Linked DNA regions of Anolis sagrei. The protein of the gene in region 1 binds, or shares a complex with, the protein of each later gene. Links are inferred from orthologs where the notes say so. Each region holds a gene or a part of one and is shown in the gene's direction. Other genes may lie near its edges.

Region 1 (14,714 bases):
ATCGGGCTGCACTTCTGACCTAGAGATTGCCTGATCGCTCCACCCCTCAGCTCTGCTTAGTTTCAGCAAGCTGGGCCTAGCTTCTGCCTTTTACACCAACCCTTTACACAACATCCCTTTAGGGTAGGCCAATCTGTTACAATGATTCTCCCCAAATATTTAGTCCTGTTCCAAGTCCTATCATATCCCCAATAAAATAATCAAGAAATGGGACAACTCAATAAAAACTTGGTTAGCAGGAACAAATAAAAATAGAATCGCCAATTCAATATTTTACTCCCCAGAAGGAAATGGAGGGTGGGGGGGCACCCAATCTAAAGCACTATTTTGGGGGCTGACAATTAAGAAGATTGTTAGAATTAGACTTCGATGATTCAAGAAAATGGGTCAGAACTGAAAAAACAATAAACGGATGAGATCATTGCCTGTGCTTAAAAAGATGGGTGGATAATTTTCACTATTGCCTGAGAAACATTGCCTTCAACTATTGGAATAAATATTTCCCAATATAGTTGGAGAAGAAAGAAACTCGGATTTTAATTAGATAAACTTAGCAGTTGTGTTCCTCAAGTCATTGCAGGAATATGGCATCTATAGGTTTTCTTGGCAAGGCTTATTTGGAGAAGCTTGCCATTGCTTTCGTCTGAGGTTAAAAGTGCGACTTACGGGGTGAATTTCCATGGTTGAGCAGGAATTCAAACTCTAGTTCCCAGCATCCTTTTATAACACTCAGCACTACACTATACTAGTTCCCAATGTTCGATTGAAATTGTTTTGCTTTTTCAAAAGAGATATATAAAATTGTTTCCTAGAAAAACACTGAAATACACTTTTAAAAAATCATTTCTGCACCATATTTTTTCTTTCAATAGGATAGAAATTGCATTTAGTGTATTCCATCTCAAATGTGACAAACCATTATTGTGAAGCCCAGATTTATAAATTCAATGCAATTCTTTGCATGTTTGATCAGAATATATTATCATTGCATTTGGTAATGCTGGCTCCAAGGGAAAAGTGCATAGGACAAATGCATTATGGCTGTAATATTCCGTGGACAATTATGAAACTTATGGCTGCTAATTCCTGGACTTGTTTACCTTAACAATTAAGCTTTAATACATTGCTCCTGGCTTTTAACAAACCTCTTCCTTAATGTACTGTAAACCATTAGTAGCCATACAATCCTTGTAATGTTATCTTTGTGTTGTTGAAGGCTTATATGGCCAGAATCCAGGGGAATTTCAGACAAGAATCAATCAGGGCCGGGCTAACACCTCCCAACAAAGGATTCTCCCAGCAACAACCAGTCAGGCTTTGAAGCTGTATGGCCATTAAATGGTAATCAAGGTGGTCAACTGCAACGTTCACACTTGCCTCAAGCAGACAAGAGTTCTTTCTCCCACCCTGGACCTTCCACAGATATATAAACCTCCCTTGCCTAGTTTCCAACAGACCCCTCAACCTCTGAGGATACCTGCCATAGATGTGGGTGAAATGTCAGGAGAGAATGCTTCTGGAACATAGCCAAACAGCCCAGAAAACTCACAACAACCCAATGTTATCTTCAACAGAAACGTAATTTTTGTTTGTAATTTTTTTCTAAGGCTTTATGTTTATAATTTATTTAAAAAACAGTGTAAGTGTAAATAGACATCGATAAAATAGATTTTTAAAACTAATTTTGTGTTAATCAAGATGGAGCTATCTTAGTTTATGTTGTCACCGGACCAGTGCTTACTTTTCAATTGTATATCAAAAGCTTTTTGTTATAGAGAATTGCTGGATGAGACTATGAGTGCAATTCTGGTTCCTTACACATCATAGTTTCCTATTGCCTGTCAAGCTATTTTCTGGCTGGGGTTCCATTAGCGCTGCAGAAAGCAACATAAATTGTTTTGCACTTATGCTCACAATTATCAAGGGAAAGCTAATGTTCTTCTTTTTAAGTATCAGCAATTTAAAATCAACACCTAGAGTCTTAAATCTTAGATCGTTACTGTGGAGGAAAGAAGAAAAGCACAATGCTGTACAGTACTTAAGAAATATTCCAGTTTAATATAGCTGGTTTCCTCTTGGTCATTTTCTATCTCTTAGATTGATTCATTGCAGGTTGAGGATAGTGGAGTCCTGGAGATGTTGTTGAACTGCAGCTCCCAGTATCCTACTTCATTAGTTGTGCTAGAGCTGCTGGGATTTACAATCCAAAAACATTTAAAGGATACTGGGATTTCCATCTCTGGATCATGGATTCTTACTAGAACAGTGGTTCCCAACCTTTTTTTGACCAGGAACAGGGACCGTTTGAACAGGGACCACTTTGACCAGGGACCACTTTCCAACATTAGTACCAAAAGGATTACGAATCAGTTTTTGGTCAACTTTAGATTTGGTTTGGTTATTTGGGGGTGCTGATTCAGAAAATTGCACTGGATAGACCATATCAGCTCTAGTTTCTGATTCAGACATATGCCATCCAGTAGTCACCATCTGCTTGCCCATAGAAAACCATATTTAATAATCTAGAGCTGATGTTATAGTAGTAATCTTTCGCAGGTAGTGCTTCGGCACTATTAGAGGGTTTTGCGAGACCAGTTGCTCTCATTGCCACGTGGTTTCAAGGCAACGGTGGAGTAATGGTAAACCGTGGACCATATTTTCATTCTTGTGAACCACTTATGGTCCATGGAACACTGGTTTGGAACCACTGTACTAGAACGTAACCATGCCAATGGCTTTCCAGGGTTAAAATGATATTACCAAGTTTTGTCCTTCCTAGTCTGGCTGCAGACAATAGAAACAAAAAAACTTGTACAAAGAAACATTAAAATGAGAAATCCATGAAATGTGAAGCCAAGAAATGCTTCTGAACACAGAAAGCACTATAACTGTCACTCTCTACATCTGCACTTAATACTCACTAGATACAGCCATAATAACAGAGGGAGTAGAAAAGCTCACTCCTTTGCTGCACTCCGATGATTGCATAGTAGTGTTTCTAGCATGAATGTCCACCTTTTCAGATTAAATTATCTTGGGTATGCCTCCACAGAACATGGACTGAAGCTGACACTTTAACAAGCATAATGCGCTGATTTACCGAGCAATGGGTTTGAAATAGAATTATGGGGTATGCCCTACCTTTTCCCCAATATATCTGCTCAGTAAATTCAAATAATGGAGGTTTTGGGCTCTATATAACACTAAAAAGGCTGTAGTGATGTGACAGTGTTTTTCTGACACAAATCATAGCAGATATGGTTCCAGATGAGTGCTTGATTTCCATGTAGATTTTTAGAAAGCTTTCCTGAGGCAGAATACCTGGTTGTCTCTAAATATTAAGATATTCTATATATTAGTGTCATAGTGTTACATTTAAATTGGTTTAATAATCCTTGGATTTTATTTCATTTCCCGCCTGTAAGAACCATCGGACTGAGAAGCTTCAAGCAGCTGATTCTGTGATATGAAAAGGAAACAAATTATTCAGGTTTCGTTGTAATAACATTGCTGCAGTGGGAGACTTTTCTTTGTTATGCTTTAAGAAGGATAGTATTTTTGGTTGATCTTTGTACAGTTAATAACTACCTTGTGGGTTTGGTAGGGAACAAAAACCTTATGAGATAGTCTTTGTCTTGAAGTTTGTATATATGAGCCTTCAAGACATCGGTTGACTTACGGAGACCCTATGAATTTGATGAGGTTTTCCTAAGGAAGAACTTCCGTACTTAGAAATAGTTTCATTTATTCCATTTTATATACAGTATTCACTCTGTGATCCACCCTGAAGGGGACTCAGGGTGGATCACAGAACACATACACGCAAACATTCAGTGCTGTTATACATTGACAGGACACATGACTGTACATAAAAAGAGGTATATATAGGCTTTCCCATCTTCCGCATGTTGGAGACTGTGCTTGGATCCGGCCATGGGGAGAGGTGGAGGGTGCTGCCACTCCACTTTCCCTGCCAAAGAGCTTTGCTTGTAAACTTCCTCCTTGATCAAATGGCTGGCATTTTTTCTGGCATTTTCTTATGTGTGCCTTAAATACCTCCACGTGCCTTAAATACCTCCACCCCAACCATGGCTGGAGTCAAGCACAGTCTTCAAGATGCCAGAAATAAGATGGGGAAAACTGCCTTTACCTCTGTTGTGTGGTCTGTCCTGTTATTGCATAATCGGCATTGAATGTTTGCCATATGTGTATTCTGTAAAGCTGCTCTTTAAAAAAATATAAATAAATAATATTGCTAATTTCAGGCTCTTGCAATAGAATAAAAAGCCAGTACATTACATTATTCAACTTACTCATTACTAGAGTTCCAGTCCTTTTTCTCAGGACTTTACATTTAGTCATTCATTCCATCTGCCATCTAGCATGAGGACGTTGCCCTTGTCTTGAAAGATCTTTATGGTTTTGTTCCACCCTATCCAATTTTGACTCATTTTACCCCATGTTTCTGCCTGTTTCTTCTTATATCCTATCCATAATCTTTCCTTCTTTTATGCTCACCTCTTAAGACAGGTACTGAAAGATTTCCTTCCTCTTATTCTCTCTTGCTACTCATGCTTGGAATTCCTTCCCAGATCACCTATATACGAATCCTGTTGAAGTTGAGAGCAAGAGTGGAGGTAGAGCCGTATTTGGTTAGGAAGAGAGGCTGGTCACAGATTCAAATTTCTGCTCTTCCGTGCGCTCACTGGATAACCATTGCTCATTCATTCTGGCTCTGCTTAAGCTTCCTTCCCTGCTGACAGTGAGGCGGAGTTGCCTTTCTACTGCCTTGAAATGCTTAGATAAACAGCAGAGGAGATGGTCAATGAAAATTAAGAGCTGGAAGCTACTTTTTAGAGGAAGGAACTGGCAAAACCACCTCTAAGTATTCCTTGCCAAAGACAAATTAATGGGATCACTGTAAATTGAAACATATATGAACATGAATGTAATCAATACAAAGAAGCCATACCCTTACGATTTCATCCCAGTAATCCTCAAGAAAAAAGTGGCCTTAAATAATAGGGGACTTGGTGGTTCTTATTTGAGATTCCCTTCTTTTTCACTGGACCTCCCCTCGCTCACATGTTTAAGCAGGGAAATGCAGTGCACACACCCTTGGCACTGAATTGTCATTGCTATCTATCTCAGGCATGGGCAAACTTCGGCCCTCCAGGTCTTTTGGCCTTCGACTCCCACAATTCCTATCAGCCTAAGGCCTCTTCCTTTTCCTCCTCAGCCACTTGGCTGAGGAGGAAAAGGAAGGGGCCTGAGGCTGTTAGGAATTGTGGGAGTTGAATTCCAAAACACTTGGAGGGCCGAAGTTTGCCCATGCCTGTCCTATCTTCATAATCAAAGACTTTCAAGGGGGCATGGCACTGAACAACAACAACAACAACAAACAGCTTGTCATTAAAGACTTTCTGAGGACATGGGATTTAATTAGTTCTATCATCATTACATTTTGAGCACCCCTTACCCAGAATTCTGGAACCTGAAATGCTTCTAAACCTGAAACTGTCCACATGAGTGGCTGAGAGACTGAAACTGTTGCTTTCTAATGGTTCAATGTATCCAAATCGTGTCATGCATAACATTATTGAAAAATATTGTCTATAACATGAGCTTGTATATAAGATGTTTATGAAGCGTAAATCAATGTTATGTTTAGACTTGGGTTCCATCTCCAAGATGAAGGATGTATGTCTGTGAAAAGACAGGGGTTCCAAAATCCTGGGGAAAAAATATCTGAAACCCAAAACATTTCTGGTCCTAAGCATTTTGGAGAAGGAATACTCAAAATAGCAATAGAGTCTTGATTATCCAACCTTCATTCATCCAACATTCTGTATTATCCAACGCAGTCTGTCTCCTGCCCAGTTTCACTGCTCTTCCAATACATTGAGATGTTTTGGTGCTAAATTCATGAATACAGTAATTACTACATAATGTTACTATGTATTGAACTGCTTTTTCTATCGATTTGTTGTAAAACATGATGTTATGGTGCTTACTTTGTAAAGTCATAATATATGTTGATGTTTAACAGGCTTTTTCTTCATCCCTCCTTATTATCCAACCTTTTCACTTAGCCAACATTCTGCCGGCCCGTTTATGTTGGATAAGTGAAACTCTATTTATTTATTTATTTAAATACTTATATACCGCCGTTTCTCAGCCTAGCCGGCGACTCAACGCGGTTTACAGCATAATATAACAGTCAACAATATACAGTTAAAATATACTGGAATAATAAACCACAACCATCATCATTATCATCTCTTCCTCCCCGAAAGGCTTGGAAGGTGAGCCCATCTTCCCAGGGCCCTTCCAGACAGGCCCTATACCCCAGGATCTGATCCTAGGTTTTCTACTTTAAATTGGATGATATGAATCCCCACTGCCAGATAATCTGGGATAAACAGAAAAGCTGGGATCAGATCCTGGGATATTGGGCCTGTCTGGAAGGGCCAGCAGTCAAGCCCTTCCTTCTCTAATTGCCTCCCTAGCTTTTCACAAAGAAGAGCTGCCCTTTCCTTCTTTTTTTCTTCCTTCCTTCCTTCCTTCCCTTTCTCTCCTTCACTTTTTCTTTCCTTCTCTTTTTCTCTCCTTCCCGCCTGCCTTCCTTTTCTTTTCTTTCCTTTTCTTTCTCTGCCTCCCTCTTTCCTTCCTTCCTTCCTCCTCTCTCTCCCTCCCTCCCTCCTTCCTTCTCTTTCTCTCCCTCCTTCCTTCCTTCTCTCTTTCTCTCCTTCCTTCCGTATTCCTTCCTTCCCTTTCTCTCCCTCCCTTCCTTCTCTCTCTCCCTCCTGTCTTCCTTCCTTCTCTTTCTCTCCCTCCCTCCTTCTTCTCTTTCTCTCCCTCCCTCCCGTCTTCCTTCCTTCCCTCCATCAATCTCTCCTTCCTTCCTTCCTTCCTTCCTTCCTTCCTTCCTTCCTTCCTTCCTTCCTTCCTTCCTTCCTCCCTCCCTCCCTCCCTCCCTCCCTTCCTTCTGGCCTCCCTCCCTCCCTGCCTCCCACCCACCCACCTGCTTCCCCCTGGTCCTTTCTGGAGGGGCTCCTCCTTCTCCTCCTCCTCCGCCTTTGCTGACGCCGTGCTGCCCCTCCTTTTCGCGGCCACCTGCCTGGCGACGAGGGGCGGCCCGGCTTCACCTGCCTCCGCCGCAGCTCCCCGGGGCGCCAGCGAGGAGAGGAGAGGAGAGGGGAGGGGGCCAAGCTCCCCTTGCAGAAGAGGAGGAGGAGGAGGAGAGGGACCCCTGCTTTCTCCCCCTCCTCACCCGCTCCCTGCTCTCCTCCTACCTTCCCAGCTGCTGAAACCGCGCCTGCTCTGGGGCAGCACCAGTTCAGCCCTGCCTTCTTCGCCTGTCTCTCTCTGCCTTTCTACCAGCATCAGCAGCCTCTTGCCTCCTCCTCCTCTTCTTCATCTTCCTCCTCCTCCTCCTCCCCTGCCCGCCTGCATGGAGAGGGAGAATGGCGGATAGAGAGAAAGGAGCCACGTCCCCGACCGGATCCTCCCCGTTCCTGGGCTTGCACCTCGCCTCGCCTCCCAATTTCAGGTAGGGGAGCCTTCCTTCCTTCCTTCCCCTCTCTCTCATCCTTGGGGGCCCTTCCCAGAAGGAGATGCTGGGGGAGAAGGACAAGGGAAGAGGAGATGGAGGAGGAGGAAAAGGGGGAGCCACAGCCTCCTTTCTGCCCCCCACTTGCCCACCTTCCCTTCCCCAATGGATTCTCATAGACCCCCTCCCACAACACCCCCCCCCCTTTAGCCTATGTGCTTTGAAAGAACCTTTCCATCCTTCCTCTCTGCCTGTCTATCAATCTGTCTATTTCAGCTGAATGTTTATTATAAGGATGCAGGTGAAAGATGCTCTGCACTGAAAGATGAGGAGGTGGTGGGGAGAAATGGAACACCCACCCACCCCCATTCCCATATTTCCTCCATTTCAGGCACCTTTCTAAGGAACCAAGAGGCAATAATGGGTGCAGTGGGTAATCTATCTTCCCCACACATCCTCTGAATGGTGGCATTGCCCAGCAGGTGGGTGCCAATAGCGCCTCTCCCTTTCTGGAACAGGTGGGGCACAGGAGTGTGGCTGACGTGTGCGCCTCTGGAACAGAACAACCAGGGCTGGGGGGAGGAGGAGGAGGAGTGGCATTTGTCTTGCTGATTTGGAAGGAAAGAGGTTATTTGGAAGGGGGGGTGTTGTCCCTCCTCACATCTTCCAAATATCACTGACATTCAAGCTGCCTGGCACAGACACCCCTGCTTCCTTGTTCTCCTTATCTCAGCCCCACAGTATTACACCCAACACAACCCTATCTGAATCCAAGCACTACCTCACACTGTTTCTGACCTCCCTACATATTCCCCTCATTATTCCTTCCATATCAGCAGCTTCCACAGACAAATCTTGCATCTTCCCAGGAAATAGCGACCGCCACACTGATAAACATGGACATCCGTGAAGCAGCCCCTCTCCCTATTCTTCCAAGTGAATCTGGAAGCCAATCCTGAAGGCAGATTTATAGCTGATTGAATCAGGGTGGTAAATATTAGACACCATATTGGATTTGAACCATTAGGAGAAAAAATGTCATGTTTACAAGGATGAAGTGACAATACAAACCAGACAGGCCTTGAAACCACCTGTTTCAAGCATCTTTGCATAGGCTATTGAGATGATTTCTTGAACATTGTAACATGATCCTACCACTGAAGGTACATCCTGCCTCTGGGTAGCAATTCAGCTCCTCCATGTTTGCTCATTTAATTGCTTGTGTCTGGTTTGTGTTCTATGTTTATCTGCTTTTTAATTGTGGGAATTAAGAATTGTCTTTACAAACCTATGATTATTGGTTTCTAAATATCCAGTATGTTTTCTGATTTGAAAGCATTGCAGAGGGAAATGTTTTCTGAACTGGAAGAGAAACTAAGCTCCTCAATCGATTCTCCATGTTGCAAGATTTTTAGAGTGCCTTCAACCTGGACTGGTTGCAAGAAAATATGTCACTTTTCATGGGGCTGGGAATGGAAGATGATGGGGTTTTTAGTGATTGATTATGACTTTGTAAATGAGATTTTCTGTGACTTAATGGGTTTTGTCTGAGTAGAGCTGTCTGTTTGTCTTGTGTATCTTGGGATCTGAATGTTAGTAAGAGAAGATTGGGTTGCTGTGAGTTTTCCAGACTATATGGCAATTTTCCAGAAGCATTCTCTCCTGATGTTTCACTCACTTCTATGGCAGGCATCCTCAGAGGTTGTGAGATCCTCACAACCTCTGAGGATGCCTGCCATAGATGTGGGGGAAACGTCAGGAGAGAATGCTTCTGGAACATGGCCATACAGCCCAGAAAACTCACAGTAATCCAGTAATTCCGGTCATGAAAACCTTCAATTATCAAGTTGTCTCCAGAACCAAGATTCCCCATAGAAAAGGCAACCCTGTCTCCAGCCTATCCAGTCTATGACTTGTCACAAACAGTAATGGGCAAAGAAGCTACCTACAAATAAAAACATCTCTGATACAGTGATGACGCCACTAGATTAGCTTACATTATTCAAGTCTGCTTCTTACAAGCTTGAGCTTTCAGAAGCCTAATATTTAACCTTTACAAGAGACCATAAAACTTTGTCACGTGGCATTTTCAGATGTCAAAAAGAAACCACTGCTTTCTTTTCATCTAGTCCAGATACGTACAATGCTAGAAGAACAATCTCTGTATTGTCAAAGGCTTCCATGGTTGGAATCCCTGGGTTGTTGTGAGTTTTCCAGGCTGTATGGCCATTCACATGTACTTCAAAAAGACAAGAATTCTTTCTCCCACCCTGGACATTCCACAGATATATAAACCCCATTTTTCTAGTTTCCAACAGACCTCACATCCTCTGAGGATGCCTGCCATAGATGCAAGCAAAACATCAGGAGAGAATGCTTCTGGAACATGGCCATACAGCCCAGAAAACTCAAACAACCCTGAGCAATCTCTGATCTCCATGAAAAAAGAGGGAAGCATGCCATGTCCTCCCGCCCCACCTCACCACCACACACACACAATTTTGTTTTCTTTTGATTTGCTTCCATAAGCATTCAGATCTGGAGAAGAAAAGAACAGAGTTAGGAACAAAATCTAGAACCAGGATGAGTTACTCATGGTCTTCCAGATGTAGTTGGGCTGCTTTGTTGCTTATGCTGACCAAGGCTGAAGAGAGTTGTAACCCAACTATATCTGGAGGATCACACATTTCCCATCTCTAATTCAGGATAGATAACCAGGATGGTCTTCAACATTTCTCTATTTTAATTATTTCATTTCATTTTATTTAGTTCCCTATTAGATAAGATAACTGGTCCATCTAATGCAGCCTGTGGGTCCCCAGATGTTTTGGCCTTCAACTTCCAGAAAGCCTAACAGCTGGTAAACTGACTGGGATTTCTGGAAGTTGCAGGCCAAAACACCTGGGGACCCATAGGTTGAGAACCACTGATCTAATGGGAGGTTCTTTCTGGGTATTCATAAGCTGGCATGCCTGGCACAATCCTCCTCTGGATTTTATGGTCACATATACAGCCAAGGAACTCAAGGCAACAACTACAGTTCTCCTTCTTCCCCGTGTTATCTTCACAACTACCCTGTGAAGTGGGCAAGCTCAAAATGATTGAGTGACCCAATGCCATCCAGTGAGTCATGCCAAGGGTGGCCAAACAAATCCATGCCTCGTTGGTTATAAAATAAAATAAATGTGGTATGCTTGAATCAGCATACCACATTCTTCATAAAGAAATGCTACTGATGAAGTTGAAGGTTCCATTTTCTTTGCACGACAGTTCTGGGTTACTGTGAGTTTTTCTGGGCTGTGTAGCCATGTTCCAGAAGCATTCTCTCCCAACGTTTTGCCCACAACTGTGGCAGGCTTCCTCGGAGTTTGTGAGACCTCACAACCTCTGGGGATGCCTGCCATAGATATGGGTGAAATGTCATGAGAGAATGCTTCTGGAACATGGCCAGGCAGCCTGGAAAACTCACAGCAACCCAGTGATTCCAGCCATGAAAGGTTTCGACAACACAATGATAGTCCTGTCTTCGAAAAAATAGATCAACCCCCTTTTAAAGCCATTCAACACCTTGTGTCAATGAATAGTATAGATTAATCATCCATTGTTTGAAGAAGTACTTTTATTTTGCCTGCCCTGAAACTAAATATCCTCATCCTCATATCTCGACTTACCATTCCCGGGCTTATTGTGGAAATGCAAAACAAGGGATAATAGCAAATCTTATTGAAATGAATGACTTCTGGAAGAAGCATACCATAGAATCATTCTGGAAGACCTAGAAAAGGCCTAGCAAGAACACCTCTCTAACATTTCTGGGTCCTAGCCTGACTCTGTGGTCAATATCCAACAGAAACAAACCATGAAATTGTGTTGAAGGACCTAGAAAATGCATAGAGAGGACACATTTTGGGATATGAGTGAGTGAAACCATGGACATCAACCCCACAGATATGGGGATAGTAGTGTACTATTAATCTGTTTAACTTGACAATTCCAAGTTTGAGTATTGTATGAAGGATGAAAATATTTATTTATTGATTGATATTTATTTATCATGTCAGAAGCAAATTTATCATGTATTTAAAAACACAAAAATTAAAACTTGACATTATACTAAATGTCCTTTGACTAGAAGCTGGCCACTTGGAGTGCCTCTGGTGTCACTGTAAGATTTATTGATTTATTGATTACTGTATAGCCATCCCATTACAAGTGTTCTCTGGGCAGAGCACAAAGGAATATAAAAATAACAGTAGTGAAAACAATAAAAACCATGTAACCTCAGTTCTCCGTGTAATTAACCTCTGTGACACTTCCTCCATCTCCAGCTCAAAACAACAATTGACCAAAAAAAGCAAAACAAATAAAAACAAACAAAGATATTGTGATTATATCGACATTCTCCAATAGTGAAGCTATGATTGTGATTGTAACTTAATAAGGAACTTTATACATTTTTGCTTGGTAACTGTAACTTTTAGTTACTTTTATGCTTATAGGATTATGACAGAAAAGGAATATGGTTCAAGTATTGCCTTGTGCAGACCTTATGCTGTCATCTCGTTTTCTGTTGTGAGATGACACTGAAATGGATGGGAAGAAAGTGTTGTTTGTATTGCAAACCAGTGTTTTGATTAATTTAGGTTTTTTGCACACATATACTGGTAAAAAATGTTGTCTATTTGAATGATTTATGTGAAACAGGAATGAAAAATGCTACTTTTAAAGAACTGTAGCTAGAACTATAATAATATAGTTTTGGGGGACCACTTTTAAGTGAAAGTAGTGACTTTTAAGAAGCATCTTTCAGCACTTTGCCCACCTTGTGCTTTCCCAGTAAACTGAAAAGCCCTAGTTCGCTTATTTAGCCCAGGCTGGGCTAAGTTTCTTTTTTGTGTCAGGTGCGACTTGAGAAACTGCAAGTCGCTTCTGGTGTGACAGAATTGGCCATCTGCAAGGATGTTGCCCAGGAGGCATCCGGATATTTTCCCATCCTGTGGGAGGCTTCTCTCACGTCCCTGCATGGGAAGCTGGAGCTGACAGACAGGAGTTCACCCCGCTCCCCAGTTTCGAACCATCAACCTTTCGGTCTGCAGCCCCATTGCACCACTGGGGGCTCCTGGCTGGGGTAAATGTGGCCCTTCAAATGCTTTTGGGCTGTAATTCCCCTAGCATTCCTCACCAGGAATTATTATGGCCAAGTCTGAAGGAAATTGCCATCCAGCAGCATTTAGGCCAGAGTGTTCCAAATGTTTCAAGTTGGTGACACACCTAGACTTGCATTATTTCTCAACACAGTAATTCAGTTTTACTGGCAAACTAGAGGTTAAATCAATCCCTTATAAGCAATAGGGACACATACATAACTTGTAATAACAAAATGTATGAGGACACAACAAACATGAAGGAACTCAAGTTAATTAAGGTAAATCAAATGAATAAAGTTAACTAGCAAGGGTTACAATAACTAACTATCCTACTTCATGTGACACACCTACACACTGCAGTGGACATAGTAAGGGTCATGACACACTGTTTGGAAAGCTCTGACCTTGAATACCACATTCTACCCATTCCTCCATTAATTATTCCTGTTAGGCTAAAGTATTTGAAACTCCTGACAAATTATGTTGCCCTTTTCCGCCCTTGCTCCAGTTGTGTCATTGCCAGTATTTCCAATGCAGCTGCAACTTTGATTTATATAAATGCATAATTATCCTGGCCTTTTAATTTTCCAGCACTTTCTAATAATTCAGAATTTGTAGTTGCTTCTTTTTACCAGTACTGACATCGGGGTAAATGTTTTTATCAAATTATTCATCATTGCCATCAGATCTCCCCCCCCCCCCCACCCGAGTAGCTACAATCTACTAAGACCACATCACTATACAGCAGTGGTTCCCCACCTGTGGTTTGTGGACCACCAGTGCTCTGCAAGAATTAAAATATGGTCTGGGGCCTCACCATTACACCTTGCCTCAAAACCATGCGGCAACATGGTCTCGTAAAACCCTCATATGGTGCAAACGCAATGGGGATGTCAGGAGGGGAGAGGCTGACTACACACGAAAGATTGCTACTTCCACATCAGCTCTAGATTATTAAATATGGTTTTCTGTGGGCAAGTAGATGGCAACTACCGGATGGCATATGTTCCGTATCAGAAACTAGATGCAATTTTCTGAATCAGCATCCCAAATAACCAAACCGAATCTAAGGTTGACCAGAAACTGATTTGTCACCCTTCTGGTACTAATGTTGGAAAGCAGTCCCTGGTCAAAGTAGTCCCTGTTCAAATGGTCCCTGTTCAAGTGGTTCCTGGTCAAAGTGGTCCCTGGTCAAAAAAAGGTTGGGAACCACTGGTATACAGTATTTGTGAAGTGTAGCCCCCTCTCCCCGCATCCCCATAAGCGTCATTTTGCACTTAGTTGTATCTGATTTGTCATGTTGCTGCCCATTCACCCAGTTTAGAGAGATGTCTTCATAGTCTGCTTTGATTTCATCATTTTGAATAACTGAATGTTATCTGCAAATGTGAGTTTCTCAGTGCTCATCTAGACTTCAGATTCCATAAAATAATTTAAATCACCCTAGTTCTAATATAACTCCTCCAGAAACCTCATTTTGTGAAAACAAGGGATGATTTAACTAGATACTTAATTTTGGAATGGCTGATAGAGCTTGAAACACAAAATATTGTGCTCCAGGGACAGGGCAGCTCGGTGCAACAGTAAGTTCCACTTAGCCATGACCTCATCCAACATATCCCTCTCCTGCCCAATCTTCTGTGTGGCACATCATTACAATAAAGCTACAGTCTAGCTATTGAGGATGTTCAGTCCTCATTAGGTGGTTGAGGGTGAGGGTCCTGTTCTTAGGATTTCTCCCCTAGATTTCTTTTTTACTTCTGCAGGCAACAAGGTTCTGCTGTTACTGCTCTACCCCTCTATTCTGCTTTGGTTAGACCACACCTGGAATATTGTGTCCAATTCTGGTCACCACAATTGAAGAGAGATATTGACAAGCTGGAATGTGTCCAGAGGAGAGCGACTAAAATGATCAAGGGTCTGGAGAACAAGCCCTATGAGGAGCAGCTTAAGAAGCTGGGCATGTTTAGCCTGAAGAAGAGAAGGCTGAGAGGAGATATGATAGCCATGTATAA
Region 2 (15,343 bases), on another chromosome or scaffold:
TGTTCCCTATTTAGTCTCTATTCTGTCTTGGTCAGACAACACCTGGAATCATAGTGTGTCCAATTCTGGGCACCGCAATTGAAGGAAGATGTTGATAAGCTGGAATGTGTCCAGAGACGGGCAACTAAAAATGATCAAGGATCAGGAGAACAAGCCCTATGAGGAACAGCTTAAAAAGCTGGGCATGTTTAGCCTGCAGAAGACAAGACTGAGAGGAGATATGATAGCCATGTACAAATATGTGAAGGGAAGTCATAGGGAGAAAGGAGCAAGCTTGTTTTCTGCTACCCTGGAGACTAGGACATGGAAAAATGGCTTCAAACTACAGGAAAGGAGATTCCACCTGACCATTAGGAAGAACTCCCTGACTGTGAGAGCTGTTTAGCAGTGGAACTCTCTGCCCTGGAGAGTGATGGAGGCTCCTTATTTGGAGGCTTTTAAGTAGAAGCTGGATGGTCATCTATCAGGGTGCTTTGAATTTTCCTGCTTCTTGGCAGGGGGCTAAACTGGATGGCCCATGAAGTGTCTTCCAACTCTATAAATCTATAATTCAATAAAATTGGAATGATAAACATTTCAAAGTTTAAGTAATGAAAACATCAGTGTGTCATAGAAAGCATAGGGTTTTTTTTCCAGCACTGGGATTACTAGGTGGCCCTAGACTTAGCATGCATCTGCACTATGGAATTAATGCAGTTTGACACCACTTTAATTGAGCAGAAGTAATGATGTAACTTGTTGGAACAGTAGCATTATGGAAAGATTTTTCTTGTTTCAGCAAATTAATCAACTGATAACATATTTTCCTATGTCATGTTATGTCCAGATAATTTAGCATAGGATTGTTGTTATGCCTTGTGAATTTAATTGCCTGGTTTTATTACAGATGCCTTTGTTTTGGATGCCTGTGGCCCATGATTAAATATTTAGCTCTAGTGTGGTCCTTTGGTGGTTTAAAATAATAGAAACCAGAATCTCTCACTCTCCAGTGGCTATAAATATGGATTATTTTTAGGATTTGGGCTACGGAAGTCACCATGATGTGCTAAAATTTACCACCAGGAGTCTGATTTCCACATAATAGCCTTTAAGCCTTCTTTTTGCCCAGTGGTTCATCTCTGCACAGTATTGAGAGAAGCAAAGTGCAACCAGCTGTTAGATGTGTGTGTACTGCAAAGCTGATATGGCTGAGACTGACTGTGGGAAACACAATTCCTTTATCGCAAAAGACAGCTACCGGGAAGATGCAATTTTCTATTAGCCTGGTTGTTCGGAAGACAAATACTGTAATTACTTTTGGGACCCTTTTCAACCTCTGAAAGAACTTAGGCTGTGTTGTCTCCCAGGCATTTTTGTGGGTTGTAAGTGGGCTTAAAAATACAATCCATTGTGCTACACAACAGCAGAGACAGCTAACCCTATTGACTCGTATTAGTGCCACTGCTTTCCACAGTTCATTCAAGAGTTTTCAATGGGCGAATCTGTACACTAAGAGTTTAAGTGAGATGCTTGTTATTTTGCAAACAGAATCTACCTTCTGTACACAAACCTTTAGGCACAAATGAAGAATTTAGTGCTCATCAATTGTGTTGGTATTGGACAGCAATTCTACAGTAGTGCACCTAAGAGCATGAGAAGTTATCTCTAAGGAGGATGAATATAATGATGTGCTGAAGCCATCTGTGAGCGAACATAAACTCATACTTTGAAAAGACCACAAGGGCTTTCTAGTCAAATCTCCAGATATGCAGGAATACACAACTAAAACACTCCAGAGAAATGGCCATCTAACCCCCAAAATAGAGAGCCCACCATCCTCTGCGGTAGTCTAATCCACTGTTGAACAGCCGTTACTGTTAATAAATTATCCCTTGAGTTTAGGTCAGTGGTTCCCAACCTCCTGAATGCCCCAACCCCTTAATACAGTTCCTCATGTTGTGGTGACCCCCCAACCATAAATTTTTTTTGTTGCTACTTCATAACTGTAATTTTGCTACTGTTATGAATCATAATGTAAATATCTGATATGCAGGATCAGGCATGTAGCTGGGGGGGGGGCTTGAGGGGCTTCAGCCCCCTCCCCCCAAATTCTCAAGAAGGCCTTACGGGTACATTATTTAAACTGTTATGTTTATTCATATCATGATCTGATCACCATACTCAATATATCTCATATGCATGGGGGTATTGGGGTAACGATACAAAAGGTTTGCTAGGATAGACCCTCTTTCACTCAAACTCACCCCCCCCCCCAGAACCAAACTCGGCCCCCCCCCCCAATCAAAATCCTGGCTACGGGCCTGTGCAGGATGTATTTTCCTTCACTGGACCAAATTTGGCACAAATACCAAATACATTCAAATTTGAATACTGATGGGGTTGGGGAGTTGTAGTTGCTGGGAGTTATACTTCACGTACAATCAAAGAGCATTCTGAACTCTACCAATGATGGAATTGAGCCACACTTGACACACATAGAACCCCCATGACCAACAGAAAATACTGGAAGGGTTTGGTGGGCATTGACCTTAATTTTTTGAATTGTAGTTCACTTACATCCAGAGAGCACAGTGGACTAAAACAATGATGGATCTAGACCAAACTTGGCACAAATACTCAATATGCTCATATGTGAACACTTGTGGATTTTGGGAAAAAATAGACCTTGACATTTTGAAGTTGTGGTTTCTGGGATTTATAGTTCATCTACAATCAAAGAGCATTCTGAACTCCACCAAAGATATAATTTGGCCAAACTTCCCATACAAAACTCCCATGACTAACAGAAAATACTGTTTTCTGATTATCTTTAGTGCCCTGTCTGGCACCCCCCGGTGACCCCCCCCCCAGGGGTCCCAAACCCCAGGTTGAGAAATGCTAGTTTAGATGGAACTCTTTTCTTGTGATTTGAGTCTATTGATTTGTGACCTAGTCTCTGGAGCAGTAGAAAACAAGATTACTCAGTCTTTAGCATCATAGTCCTTCCGATATTTAAAAATGGTTATCATGTCAACTCTCAGTCTTCTCTTCTATACCCAAGTCCATAAGTCATTCCTTATAGGTCTTCATTCCAGACCTTTGTTCATCTTGACCAACCTTCTTTTGATGTATTTCAACTTGTCAATATCCTTCTTGAACTGAGTGCCCAGTGGACATTGTACATATTTGAGGTAAGACCAAGCCTTAGTCAGGCTTAGTGACAGGCCTACCATATTAATACTGATTAGCTTAGGTTCCAATGAAAAAAATCCAGGAAGGATAGCAGGGGAGCCAACAAAGGGATGGGGAATAAAATAGCAATGGAAAAAAACCCTATTACCTACATCATTTCATGGACAATTCCCTAAAAAATACAGTTATAGTCTTCCTGAGACTCAAACCTTGCCCTCTGGCTATCTATGCACCTTATCCCACAGCAGCAAGAAGAAAAGCTAGACCAAAAAGAACTCTGCATAACTTCTATGTTTTTTCATTGACCTGGCAGATATCTTTTTATATATTTTCATAGTCAAGAAAGCCACTGCTTGATTATCTCATTTCATCAATTTTGAACATTTAAAAAATGGAACGAAAAAAGAAAGAGTAAAAAAAATCTTTTCTTTTCTAGGTCACTGTTTCATCTCCATTTGATACCAGAGGCTGACTTGTCTCTTGCCATTTTCTGGGCAACTCATCAACTCGCTTAGTACTGTTTTACTTGCAGCTGCTCGAGATGGATGGGACTGAAAAAGGGAAATGAAAGGTTAACTTTGAATTGCGGCTTGAAAACAGCATCCATTCTGAGAAGCTTAGGAAATTGGTTTTCTGTTTCTGTTTCTGAGGAATTCCAGGTCAAGGCAGGGACTGAGATGCTACATTCAAAGGCACATAATATAGGAATTTTTACTTTTCACAAGCAAGGCTTGTTATATACCTGGAAAAATGAATGAATTTTCCTTTGGTCTAGGCCTAGAAATTTGAATGCGAATGTACTCCATCCAGCTTTGTAACAGCAATTTCTCAAGTGCAGTTGTTTGTCTTGACAGCTCTTAGAGTCTTTCCCCAAAAGAGGGTCCAAAATGAACATGCACACATCTACCAAAGAACTAGTATAAAAGTAATAAGGATGCAAGGGGCTTGGTGCAAAATTTCCCATCCTCAACAACATAGGATGGCCCAACACTTCAAGACTCTCAGTCACAAGACAGCCATTCATTATGAAGTGTTGCCAGATTTCAGCAAAGTAGGATAAAACTTTGTATTCTCAATTTTTGTTTGTGCAAAAACAAAACAAAACAAAACAGGTCCCTCCCCCAACCTTCTTTGCATCTTCTTTATGTCATTTTTGTGTGTCTTTTAAATAATAATAATAGTAATAGTAATAATAATAATAATAATAATAATAATAATAATAATCTCTACAACTCCCAGAAATCCCAGCCAGTTTACCAGCAGTTAGGCTTTCTGAGAATTGAAGGTCAAAACATCTGGGGACCCACAGGTTGAGAACCACTGTTCTATTGCATTTTTCATTCTGTTTCCAGAATTAGAAGCCCCATATACTGAGCCATGATATTGTGATACATGGAATATAAGTACATATCAATCACTGCCTAATCTGTGCCTCTGGATACATTGGATTGCAAGTACCATCGCCCTCATTGAAAGGGTATAGGGGCGGGGGCTGATCATAGGTCTGCAGGGCATTTGCTTGGGAAAGATATAGAATACAGGGTTCTGGTTGGCTGTGTGATTGCTTGGTACTAACTGTGAGAGCTATTCATTAGTGGAACTCTCTGCCCCGGAGTGTGGTGGAGGCTCCTTCTTTGGAGGTTTTGAAAAGAGGCTGGATGGGCATCTGTTGGGGGTTCTTTGAATATGATTTTCCTGCTTCCTGGCAGCGGGTTTGACAGGATGGCCCACAAGGTCTCTTCCAACTCTATGATTCTGTGATAGCAGCTTCAGCACAGCAGGTTAGTCACCAGCTGCAATAAATCTTTCCAACTGAAAGATTGACACTTCAAAGCCGGGTCAGGGGGAGCTCCGGACCTTCAGCCCAGCTCCCAGCCCACCTAGCGGATTGAAAACAGCAACAGGAGTAAATAAATTAAAACCACATTAAGCAGAGAGGTGTTTTAGGCATGATGTTTCAATCAGAAAAAGGAGGAATGTTTGTGAACAAAGAAAGCCTTTAGGCAAGGAGATGGAGCAATAGCACCCCTTGTGGCCGGAACCGAGCACAACCTCCAAAGATGCCAGAAAAATGGGAAACTCATATATAAATACCTTTATCTGTTGTCTGTATTGTCATGGTATAATTGTCATTGAATGTTTGCCATATATGTGTTCTGTAATGTGCCCTGAGTCCCCTTGGGGGTGAGAAGGGTGGAATATAAATACTGGAAATAAATAAATAAAGTATAGCATTATACTTTATTAGAATGGTTTGGGACCAGCCTACCTTCGTGACCACATTTCCTTCTACGAACCTACATAATCCCTTTGATCTTCTGGAGCGGCCCTTCTCGCACCCCCACCCCCATTGTAAGTGTGACTTGTGGGGACGAGGGAGAGGGCCTTCTCTATGGTGGCTCCTCAGCTCTGGAGTTTGCTCCCCGGAGAAATGAGGCAAGCACCCATCCTGGCAGACTTCAGGAAGAGCCTAAAAACATGGCTGTTCCAGTGTGCCTTCAATGAATGAACAATAATCCCTGACCTTGACTAAACCACACATAAAAATTCCTTTGAATGCACTTTATTTCACCCTCTAGTGCAACTAAACCCCATTGTTTCATCCCACTTGAACCTCCTTCTAGATACACTACATTACTTATCTCACCTAGAGTTTTTAAACATTTTAATCTTTGCAACCGGCCTTGCCCATTGTGTTCTATTATTGTGATTTTATATTGCATTGTGTGCCTATTTTGTACTGTTTATTATTATTATTATTATTATTATTATTATTATTATATTTTATTGATGTATTATTTTATGTTGTATATTTGCTTTGTTGTGATTTTTGGGTTTGGCATTGTGTAAGCTGCCCCGAGTTCACTTGGGGAGATGGTGGTGGGGTATAAATAAAGTTTTATTATTATATTACACGCGTTACTGTGGCCAACCTTCCCTCCCTTTTTCTCTCCTCCTTTCTTTCTCTCCTTCCCTTTTTTCTTTCCTTCTCTCCTCCTTTCCTTCTCTTCCTCTTCCCTTCCTTCCCCCTTTTCTTTTCCTTCTGCTTTCTCCCCTTTCTTCCTTTTCTGCCTATTCTTGGACTGCAACACCCAGCAGTCCTCCTGATCCATCTACCTACCTATCTATATCGATTTATCTGGAGGATTGCTGGGAGTTGCAGTCCAGGAATAGGAAATGGGAAATATGCAGGGATTTGGATGCTCTCAAAGAAATCCAAGGAGAAGAAAGCTTGCCACTTAGAAGCAGTGCATTTGGATCATCCTCCTCTCCTAAAGTTCCTGGTCTAGGGGCTGCTGGGAGCTGTACTCCGGAAGAGAGTGTGGATATGCTATTGTGTGATTTGTTTGCCAGGGAGAGTCATTTTTGCACATGCTTTGTAGCATCTTTTAGCTTTTTTTTGGATTTTTAAGTCCCTTCTGCTGTGTTTTTCAGTGTTTTTATGAGTGATGGTCACTCGTTGGCCTGATAGGTGTATTGTGTCCAAATTTCCTGTCAATTCGTCCAGTGGTTTTTGAGTTATCCAGTGGTCCACACTCTTGTTACATCCCGTATAGACTACTGCAACGCACTCTATGTGGGGTTGCCCTTGAAGACTGTTCGGAAACTCCAACTGGTCCAGCGAGCAGCAGCCAGATTGCTTACCGGAGCGACATACAGGGAGCATACCACCCCCCTGCTGTGACAGCTCCACTGGCTGCCGGTTAAATTCCAAGCACAATTCTAGGTGCTGGTTATGGTTCCGGTCCAGCGTATCTGTCCGAACGTATCTCTCTCTATGTCCCACCCCGGAATTTGAGGTCATCTGGGGAGGCCCTGCTCTCGACCCCACTGCTATCACAAGTGAGGCTGGTGGGGACGAGGAGCAGGGCCTTCTCAGTGGTGGCCCCTCACCTGTGGAACTCACTCTCGGGGGAAATTAGGGCATCAACATCCCTCCTCTCCTTCAGGAGGAAGGTAAAGATGTGGTTGTGGGACCAGGCCTTCGGGCAATCTGACAATTAGACATGGACAGCCAGATGGATGGGACTGAAAGGACTGACAATTGTGGAATTGGAATTTTGAACTATGAGATTGCGAAACGCTGACCATCAATGAGGTTTGTATTGGTTTTTATTGCTTTTATTGGTTTTATGGTTGTCTCTGCCTATACTAATTACTGTTTTCTGTTAACTGTTGTTATTGCCAGAATGCTGTTTTGTTAACTGATGTTATTGTCTTTTGCTATATGTGATGCGGGCATCGAATTGTGCCTTGCTTTTGTAAGCCGCCCTGAGTCCCCCACACCACCCCCACCCCATCCCGGGGTGAGAAGGTTGGGGTAGAAGCAACCAAAATAAAATAAAATAATAATAATTATGTTAATCCCACAAACAAACACTACATTTTTATTTATATAGATTATTATTATAGTATCCATGGGGTTCTAGGACCCCAATGATCCTAACATCTATGGGTGCTCAAGCCCTGTTATATACACAGTGGAGTATTAAAATGGTATTCTTTACATAAAATGGCAAAAGCAGGCTTTACTTTTCAGATTCTTTCTGGGATTATTTGGAATGGGTAGATCAGGCCTGGGCAAACTTGGGCCCTCCAGGTGTTTTGGACTTCAACTCCCACCATTCCTAACAGCCTCAGGCCCTTTCCTTTCAGCTTAAGCGGCTGAGGGGGAAAAGGAAGGGGCCTGAGGCTGTTAGGAATGGTGGGAGTTGAAGTCCAAAACACCTGGAGAGCCCAAGTTGCTCAAGCCTGGGGTAGATAGATGCAGAATCCATGGATAGGGAGGCCAAAGGTAGCCTCAAACCTACTAAGGTAAAGCTGAATGCAGAAAGAGAAAGGTGTGGAACCGAAGAGCAAACCAAGGTGGTCCTTGTCTTGGACCAGATCAAGCACTTTGGGATTTAGTGCATGGCTGGGCTGCATCTCAGTGGTGGGAAGCTCTGAGTAGGTCATAAGCACCCTGCCCAGCCAAGGCCATTGCTCTGGCCATCTTCCATGCCAACTCGGCCTGAGAGTCCAGCTGCTATTGCTGATAAACCATCACAGAAGCTTATTCAGCGTTGCTTTTTTCCTATTTTTTCCCCCCTTGGCCTCGCAGATTTCACCAGGAAAGGAGGGGAGGGAGATACAATGGCTGGCGCTGCAGATTAGACTCCCCCTCTCCTCCCCTCCCCTTCCCTCCCTCCCTCCCTCCTCCCGAGACCTCGCTGGGCTTTGACGTCACGTGGGCTCCTTCCCCGTTGCCATGGCAGCGCCATTCCCCAAGCCGGCTCCCCCCCCCCTTCCTTTTCCCCACAATGGTCCAGCCGGCAGCATCAGGAGCATCCTCTCCAGCGCCGCCACCAAGCGAGGCCCAATGGTCTCCAGATTGTAAAAGAGGGTGATTCAGCAGGACACCTTCCCTTCCTTCCTTCCAGCCGTCCCTCCTGCTTCTTTCTCCTCCTCTTCCTCTTCTCTTTCTCCATCTCTCCCTTTCTTTCTGTGACTGATATTACGCACCAGTTTGAAGTCCATTGCTTCGTTTGCCTCCATCTCCAAAAAGAATAAGCTTTGGCACCAAATCCCTCCTTCACTTGCAAACCCCCCTCTCCCCACACACATCCCTTCCTATAGTTGACCATCACCAGATTCCCTATACACTCCCCTTTCTCCTTTCGTCGTTATACCTCTCCTCTCTCTTTGCAGATTCTTTTTCTCCCCTCTCTCTAATTTCCCCTCTCTCCTTTCCATCACCTGTTCGTCTCTCTCTCTCTCAATCTCCCTCTCTCCTTTCCATCTCCTGTTTTCCTCTCTCTCACTTAAAACCCTTTCTCCCCACATCAGACTCCCTATACACCCCTTTTTCTCCTTTCGCCTTTATCTGTACCTCTCTCTCTGCAGATCCCCATTTCTCCCCCCTCTCTTTCCTTTCTATCCCCTTTTCTCCCCTCTCTCAGTCCCCTTCTCTCCTTTCCATCTCCTGTTCTCCATTCTCTCTAAACCCTCCTCTTTCCTTCCTATCCCCTGCTCTCCTCTCTCTCAATCCTCCTCTCTCCTGTTCTCCTCTCTCTCACTTACAACCCCCTCCCCCCCCCACACACACACCTTCCTATAGTTGACCATCACCATACACCCCCTTTTCTCCTTTCGCCTTTCTCTCTATCTCTCTCTCAACAGATCCCCTTTTCTTCCCCCTCTCTCTCAATAGGGGGGTCATTTCCATCCCTGTTCTGCCCTGTCTCTCAATCCCCCCCTCTTCTTTCTATCCCCTTTCCTCCATTCTCTCTCAATCCCCCTCTCCTTTCCATCTCCTGTTCTCCATTCTCTTTAAATCCTCCTCTTTCCTTTCCATCCCCTTTTCTCCTCTCTCTCTCTCAATCCCCCTCTCTCCTTTCCACCTCCTGTTCTCTCTCTCACTTACAACCCCCTCTCCTCCCCAATACATATACCTTCCTATAGTTGACCATCACCAGACTCCCTATACACCTCCTTTTCTCCTTTCGCCTTTCTCTATACCTCTCTCTACAGACCCCCATTTCTCCCCTCTCTAATTCCCCCTCTCTCCTTTCCATCCCCTGTTCTTCCCTGTCTCTCAATCCTCCTCTCTCCTTTCCATCTCCTGTTCTCCATTCTCTAAATCCTCCTCTTTCCTTTTCTCCTCTCTCTCTCTCTCTCAATCCCCCTCTCTCCTTTCCATCCCCTTCTTCCAGCCCTCCAAGCTACCCATTTCCCTTCTCTCCCTCCCCAGTAAGAATGGGGCGCTTTCCAGAGACCCCTTGACGTCGCCACAAGGAGGGCCAAACCAAGACCCCGGCAAGAGGCGGGTCTGGAGCGCAGGCACTGGAATGGTAGGTGGTGGATGTGGGAAGAGATGGGGAAGGGGGGGGGGGCTGCTGGGGCTTTGAGACCCCCCTCCTTTCCCTTCCCTTCGTCTTTGTGAGAGGAGGCGGGCTGATGAATATTGATTGCTGTTAAAAATAATCGAGGGGAGGGGGAGGAGGGAGAGCGCGCGCGTGCGTGAGTGGAGGAGGGAGAGAGAGAGAAAGAGAGAGATAGAGAGAGAGAGGCAGGTTAATGAAGTAAACTGCTAAGAGAAGCAGCAGGGAGGCGAGAGCTGGACCGCAGGCCACCGGGAAGGCAGCATCCTTTTGGGCCGGTGTCGGGGTTAGTAGCCGCGGCTTGTTTGCATCTCTCTTTTGGGTCGGGTTTGGGATGCGATAGGATCTGCATTGGCTTCCCGGAGGAGGGTGGAGGGGGATGTAAACACAGGGCTCCTTCTGCTGTATCTTGTGCTTCTCTCTGTGCGCGCCCCCCTCCCTCTCCTGTCCTTTGAAAAGGAACCATGACTCTCATTATTTCATGTTTATTTGTTTTTCAATCGGGGAAGCATGGGCCAAGGGATGGGATCTGTTTGCAAGGGGGGGTTGGGTTGTGGATCACATCATAACAAAGATGGCAAGGTAACCATAATAATTAAGGTATTGTCGCTTTCATGGCTGGAATCACTGGGTTGTTTTCTGTCTTTTGGGCTGTATCCCTTCTTAGTATTATCTTAGTAAATGTCTTAGTATTATCTTAGTAATTATTATTTTAGTAATTGTAACAATTATCTTAGTAACAATTATCTTAGTAATTGTTGAAGGCTTGCATGGCTGGAATCACAGGGTTGTTTTCAGTTTTCCAGGCTGTATGGCCATGTTCCAGAAGCATCTTCTCCTGACATTTCACCTGCATCTATGACAGGCATCCTCAGAGGTTGTGAGACCTCACAACCTCCAAGGATGCCTGTCATAGATGCAGGCAAAACGTCAGAAGAGAATGCTTCTGGAACATGGTCATACAGCCTGGAAAACACACAACAAAACATAATAATTAATGTTTTTCTCTCTAAAAAAATCACTTTTCCTTCCCTGATTCTCATACCTTATTCTCTGTTTCCTCTACTCTCTCCCTCTTGAAAAGGAATCCAAAGTGTATCTCCCTCCAAAACTCTCTTGGTGGGATATTTCTCCCTCCCTGCATGAGATAAAGGTGAGGGTCCAGAGGTGAAAACAAGGGGATGGAAAATCCAAGTGGTTTTATTTTTGTCACCAGGAAGTCCTTTCTGAACATAAACATCCCACTGGCTTGCATAACAATTCTATGTACGCAAAGTGGATAAGAGATCCATCTTTCTTTTGAAGGTAGACCTAAAATTTAGGACAAGCATGAAGTGGGGGCGGGTGAGTGGGTGGGTAGCCGGTTGTGCCATGTAAAGGGACATTCTCCAATTGCATCTAAAGACTGCAGCAAAAGCAATGGAGCTTTTACCGGAATAGCCTTTTCGACAGCCCCGGCTTTTACAATTTGTTCGGATAGCATTTTTCTCCTTTCTGCAATGCGGGCCCTGTTAAAAGATACAAAGAGTTTGCATGGCTGTCTCTTGGAGGTCATAATTCAGTGGATCGGTCTAATGAGAGGGTTTGCATTTGTGTGCATGCTTTATTATTTTTTTATTATTTTCTTATCCTCAGTGGCCATAGGCTTGTTTACATGGGTGCCTTTTGCTGCAGAGCCTCACCGTTGCTTCTCCAATGCAGTTTTCCCATCTTCTCATCCGGCTCTCTGGGTGATTTCTTTTTCTGGTGTCTTGCAAAAAAGATGGCTCATCCATGCATGCATACACAGAACCTGGTCTCTTCTGTTTTGGTTTTTTCCTCCTCAAGGAGAGGAAAATGAAGATGGCCAAGGAAAGAAATAAAAGGGGTGGATGATAACATCGCTGTTTTGATTATACGGGTCTGCTGATCTTCTCATGCAAGGCCAATAAAGATGGGGGCATGAGAGAGAGAGAGAGAGAGAGAGAGAGAGAGAGAGAGAACTGCTGACAGGGAAGATAGACAGTGATTGTGTTGAGCTGAACCACATGCAAGCAGGCTTGCTTCCAATGACAGGAGAATGAAGAAGGAAGGAAATGATTTTAGGGCACGTTGGAAGCAGTTGGAGACGGAAGAATCCATGGTGTGTGTTCGAGTTTGACAGTTCTTTCCCTCCATAGGGCTCCTTCCCCTTGTTGTATTTCCAGTTTTGCCCCATCAGGTACCATCCATAGAGCTGCTGGATTAAAATTTCAAAACAAAGGAATGCAAAGGAGAGCTGCTGATGTGAAGCGAGGGGCTGTCCCCTTAGGATAAGACGTGCCAATAATAAAGCAGGACACATCTGACAACCCTAAATTATACTTGCTCATTTTTTTCTGGTGTAGAGTGCTTGGTTGTTCTCGTCCTCCCCCAACCCCCTCCCACCGTTATTGTTAAATGAATGACAGAGGTGGTGTGATATGAGCTATTCAATCAAAAGCCGGCCCCCTTCCCTCCCCTTTTCCCAGATGGACTCTTATTCTACCTCACCATTTCAGAGCATGTAATATTTTTGCAAATGTCCTGTTTGTTGTGGTGGAACACAGCAGGGTGGCTTTGCAATGCTGGTCTGATTTAGGAGAGGAAAAATGAGGGAATCTTTTAGAATGGAAATACCAGCTACCTCTGGCTAGTCCTGCGTAGATGATAGCTGTGTAACCTAGTTGTCTCTCTTGTGGCTTGAGAGATGTGTGCATGTTTATTGGATCTGGGAGAAGCTGTTTATGAGTACTTCCCAGCAAGGATGAGTGTTCAGATATGTTTGTGTTTTGCTGGCTTCCTAGCATAGGGGTCAATAACTGGAAGGCAAAATTGTTGCTGAAGACACTGCAAATTCATGCTCAGAGTTGGAAGTGTTCTGTGTATGTGGAGAAGGGGGCGTTGGAGCAACATCAAAGGTTCTAGGCATTTTTGGGTTTTGTTATGGCTACCTTGCCGCCGCCCCCCCCCCCCACACACACACATACGAAGAATCATAGAATCATAGAATCAAAGAGTTGGAAGAGACCTCATGGGCCATCCAGTCCAACCCCCTGCCAAGAAGCAGGAATACTGCATTCAAATCACCCCTGACAGATGGCCATCCAGCCTCTGCTTAAAAGCTTCCAAAGAAGGAGCCTCCACCACACTCCGGGGCAAAGAGTTCCACTGCTGAATGGCTCTCACAGTCAGGAAGTTCTTCCTCATGTTCAGATGGAATCTTCTTTCTTGTAGTTTGAAGCCATTGTTCCACGTCCTAGTCTCCAATGAAGCAGAAAACAAGCTTGCTCCCTCCTCCCCGTGGCTTCCTCTCACATATTTATACATGGCTATCATATCTCCTCTCAGCCTTCTCTTCTTCAGGCTAAACATGCCCAGCTCCTTAAGCCGCTCCTCATAGGGCTTGTTCTCGAAACCCTTGATCATTTTAGTCGCCCTCCTCTGGACACATTCCAGCTTGTCAATATCTCTCTTGAATTGTGGTGCCCAGAATTGGACACAATATTCCAGGTGTGGTCTAACCAGAGCAGAATAGAGGGGTAGCATTACTTCCCTAGATCTAGACACTATGCTCCTATTAATGCAGGCCAAAATCCCATTGGCTTTTTTTGCCGCCACATCACATTTTTGGCTCATGTTTAACTTGTTGTCCACGAAGAGATTGTACATATATAGTTCCTTCAAAGTAGCATACTGTTTGATGGACCACAAAGGGCCAAAGAGAAGCCAAAGAGAAACAGCCATAGCATAGCAAAGAATACCAAGGCTGACCTACTATAAAGCACCATGAGCAATCTCTTCAGGTGACATTTTCTGGAGGGCAGCAATGCCAGCCTCCTGACTGTTAGTTCTCGACTCAAAAGATTTTGTATATATATTTTTTCTAGCATGTTCTGTATCTAAAGATCTCAGGGCAGTAGGGGGGAAAACACAGCATGATCAGATTGAAACAGTATAAATAATAAAATTCCACCAAAGGGCTAAAAAACATTAAACCATGTAACAAGCTTTAAAAAAGAGACTAGAACCCATTAAAATACTTTTAAACAATTCAAAACCATGCCACTGTACAGATCGGTATAAAATAGAGGTAGGCAGGAGGGCAGATTTTGACTGATCATTGGAAAGAGCATCTTGATGCTAAGGATGGGTCAAAAATTGAGCCAATTACATAAAAAGAAGTGGGATCACTTTCTCTTGATGACTTCAAAAACCTGCTCCGGGCACTCTAGTTGGATATCCGGCATTGAGCAGAGGGTTTGGACTAGATAGCCCATGTAGGCCCTGCTATCTCTGATATTCAAGCTAGGTTTCCAAAACTTTTGTAAACAACATTTTTTGACCTGACATAAAAATTATAGCAATGTGAGTGCCTAGTGTTCCTCCAAGGGAAGGTTATTCCATAACAGGGGAGCCATGTCAGAGAAGGCCCAGATCTCCTACGTTTGCCTGTATGTAAACTAGCATGATATCTCAAGTACACTAGGAAACACTATGCCACCACCAGTGTACAAGTATGATTGAACTGCTGATCTGGTTAGTGTCTATAAATGCACTTGGGAATGGAGGGGATCTTGTATTTTGTCTCAGGAAGCAAAATGTCTTGAACTGTTCCTGATAGATGCATGAGCCATAGTGTATTGACAAGATATATTAACCCAAGGATCTTTGAGGTCAAATGCATACTCAGCCTAAAAATGGTGTACATGGTTTTGCTATTATATCTCCGAAACTTGTGGGGAGGAAATGAGATAAAATATTTGCTTTGAGCAACATAGGGAAAGAATGGGATATAAATGTGACACTTAATAAAATAGGCACCATACTGTAAAGCCCTTTACATCGCTGTCAATGTCCTGATTGGTGGCAGCTGCAAGCTACCCTTCAGGTTGTGTTCCAGACTTTAAAAGAGCTGTCCAGGGTAATAAAGTGTATTCCAAGAACAAGTTCAGAACCATGGATAGCTGCTTTAAAATCTGTAATAAAATTTTGAGTAGAATTACTGAACCTCTGAGATTGCAGCCACTCAAAACTGTTGACAGTATCCCGTGGTCTGTTGGTGTAGGAGGGATTATAGCTTAGTGGGAGAGTTCATACACAGCCCAAGGCCATTTGTCTACTGCTGGATCTTTTTTACAGACAACAGTGCTCTTCCTGTTAAAAAAAATCACAATGCTAGGGAAGACCTTGGAAAACTGGTCATTTGGAGGAGACCAGTGGTTCTGAAATGGAGTAGACAGTGCTCAAGTTATATTGACCAGTGGCTGAGTTCAATATAAGATACCTTCTTGTTTACAATCAATGGAAATACG

What was found.
Region 2: the proteins of MAPK8IP1 (region 1) and MAPK10 are in contact, whole or in part, in a crystal structure (PDB 3PTG), measured with the Homo sapiens proteins. The link is inferred for Anolis sagrei from reciprocal best matches to the Homo sapiens genes MAPK8IP1 and MAPK10. Residues at the interface, in NP_005447.1 of Homo sapiens: Pro158, Lys159, Arg160, Pro161, Thr162, Thr163, Leu164, Asn165, Leu166; in NP_620448.1 of Homo sapiens: Asp150, Ala151, Gln155, Val156, Met159, Leu161, Glu164, Arg165, Tyr168, Leu169, Tyr171, Val197, Lys198, Ser199, Asp200, Cys201, Trp362, Asp364, Glu367.

What each region holds. Positions count from the first base shown.
Region 1 is NC_090021.1:277,858,359-277,873,072, forward strand, and holds the start of MAPK8IP1 (C-Jun-amino-terminal kinase-interacting protein 1), read left to right. Parts: upstream 1-7,099; 5' UTR 7,100-7,466; coding exon 7,467-7,552; intron 7,553-14,714. UniProt on the Homo sapiens protein: The JNK-interacting protein (JIP) group of scaffold proteins selectively mediates JNK signaling by aggregating specific components of the MAPK cascade to form a functional JNK signaling module. Required for JNK activation in response to excitotoxic stress.
Region 2 is NC_090025.1:19,258,158-19,273,500, reverse strand, and holds the start of MAPK10 (mitogen-activated protein kinase 10), read left to right. Parts: upstream 1-9,311; 5' UTR 9,312-10,001; intron 10,002-10,165; exon of another isoform or gene 10,166-10,317; intron 10,318-15,343. UniProt on the Homo sapiens protein: Serine/threonine-protein kinase involved in various processes such as neuronal proliferation, differentiation, migration and programmed cell death.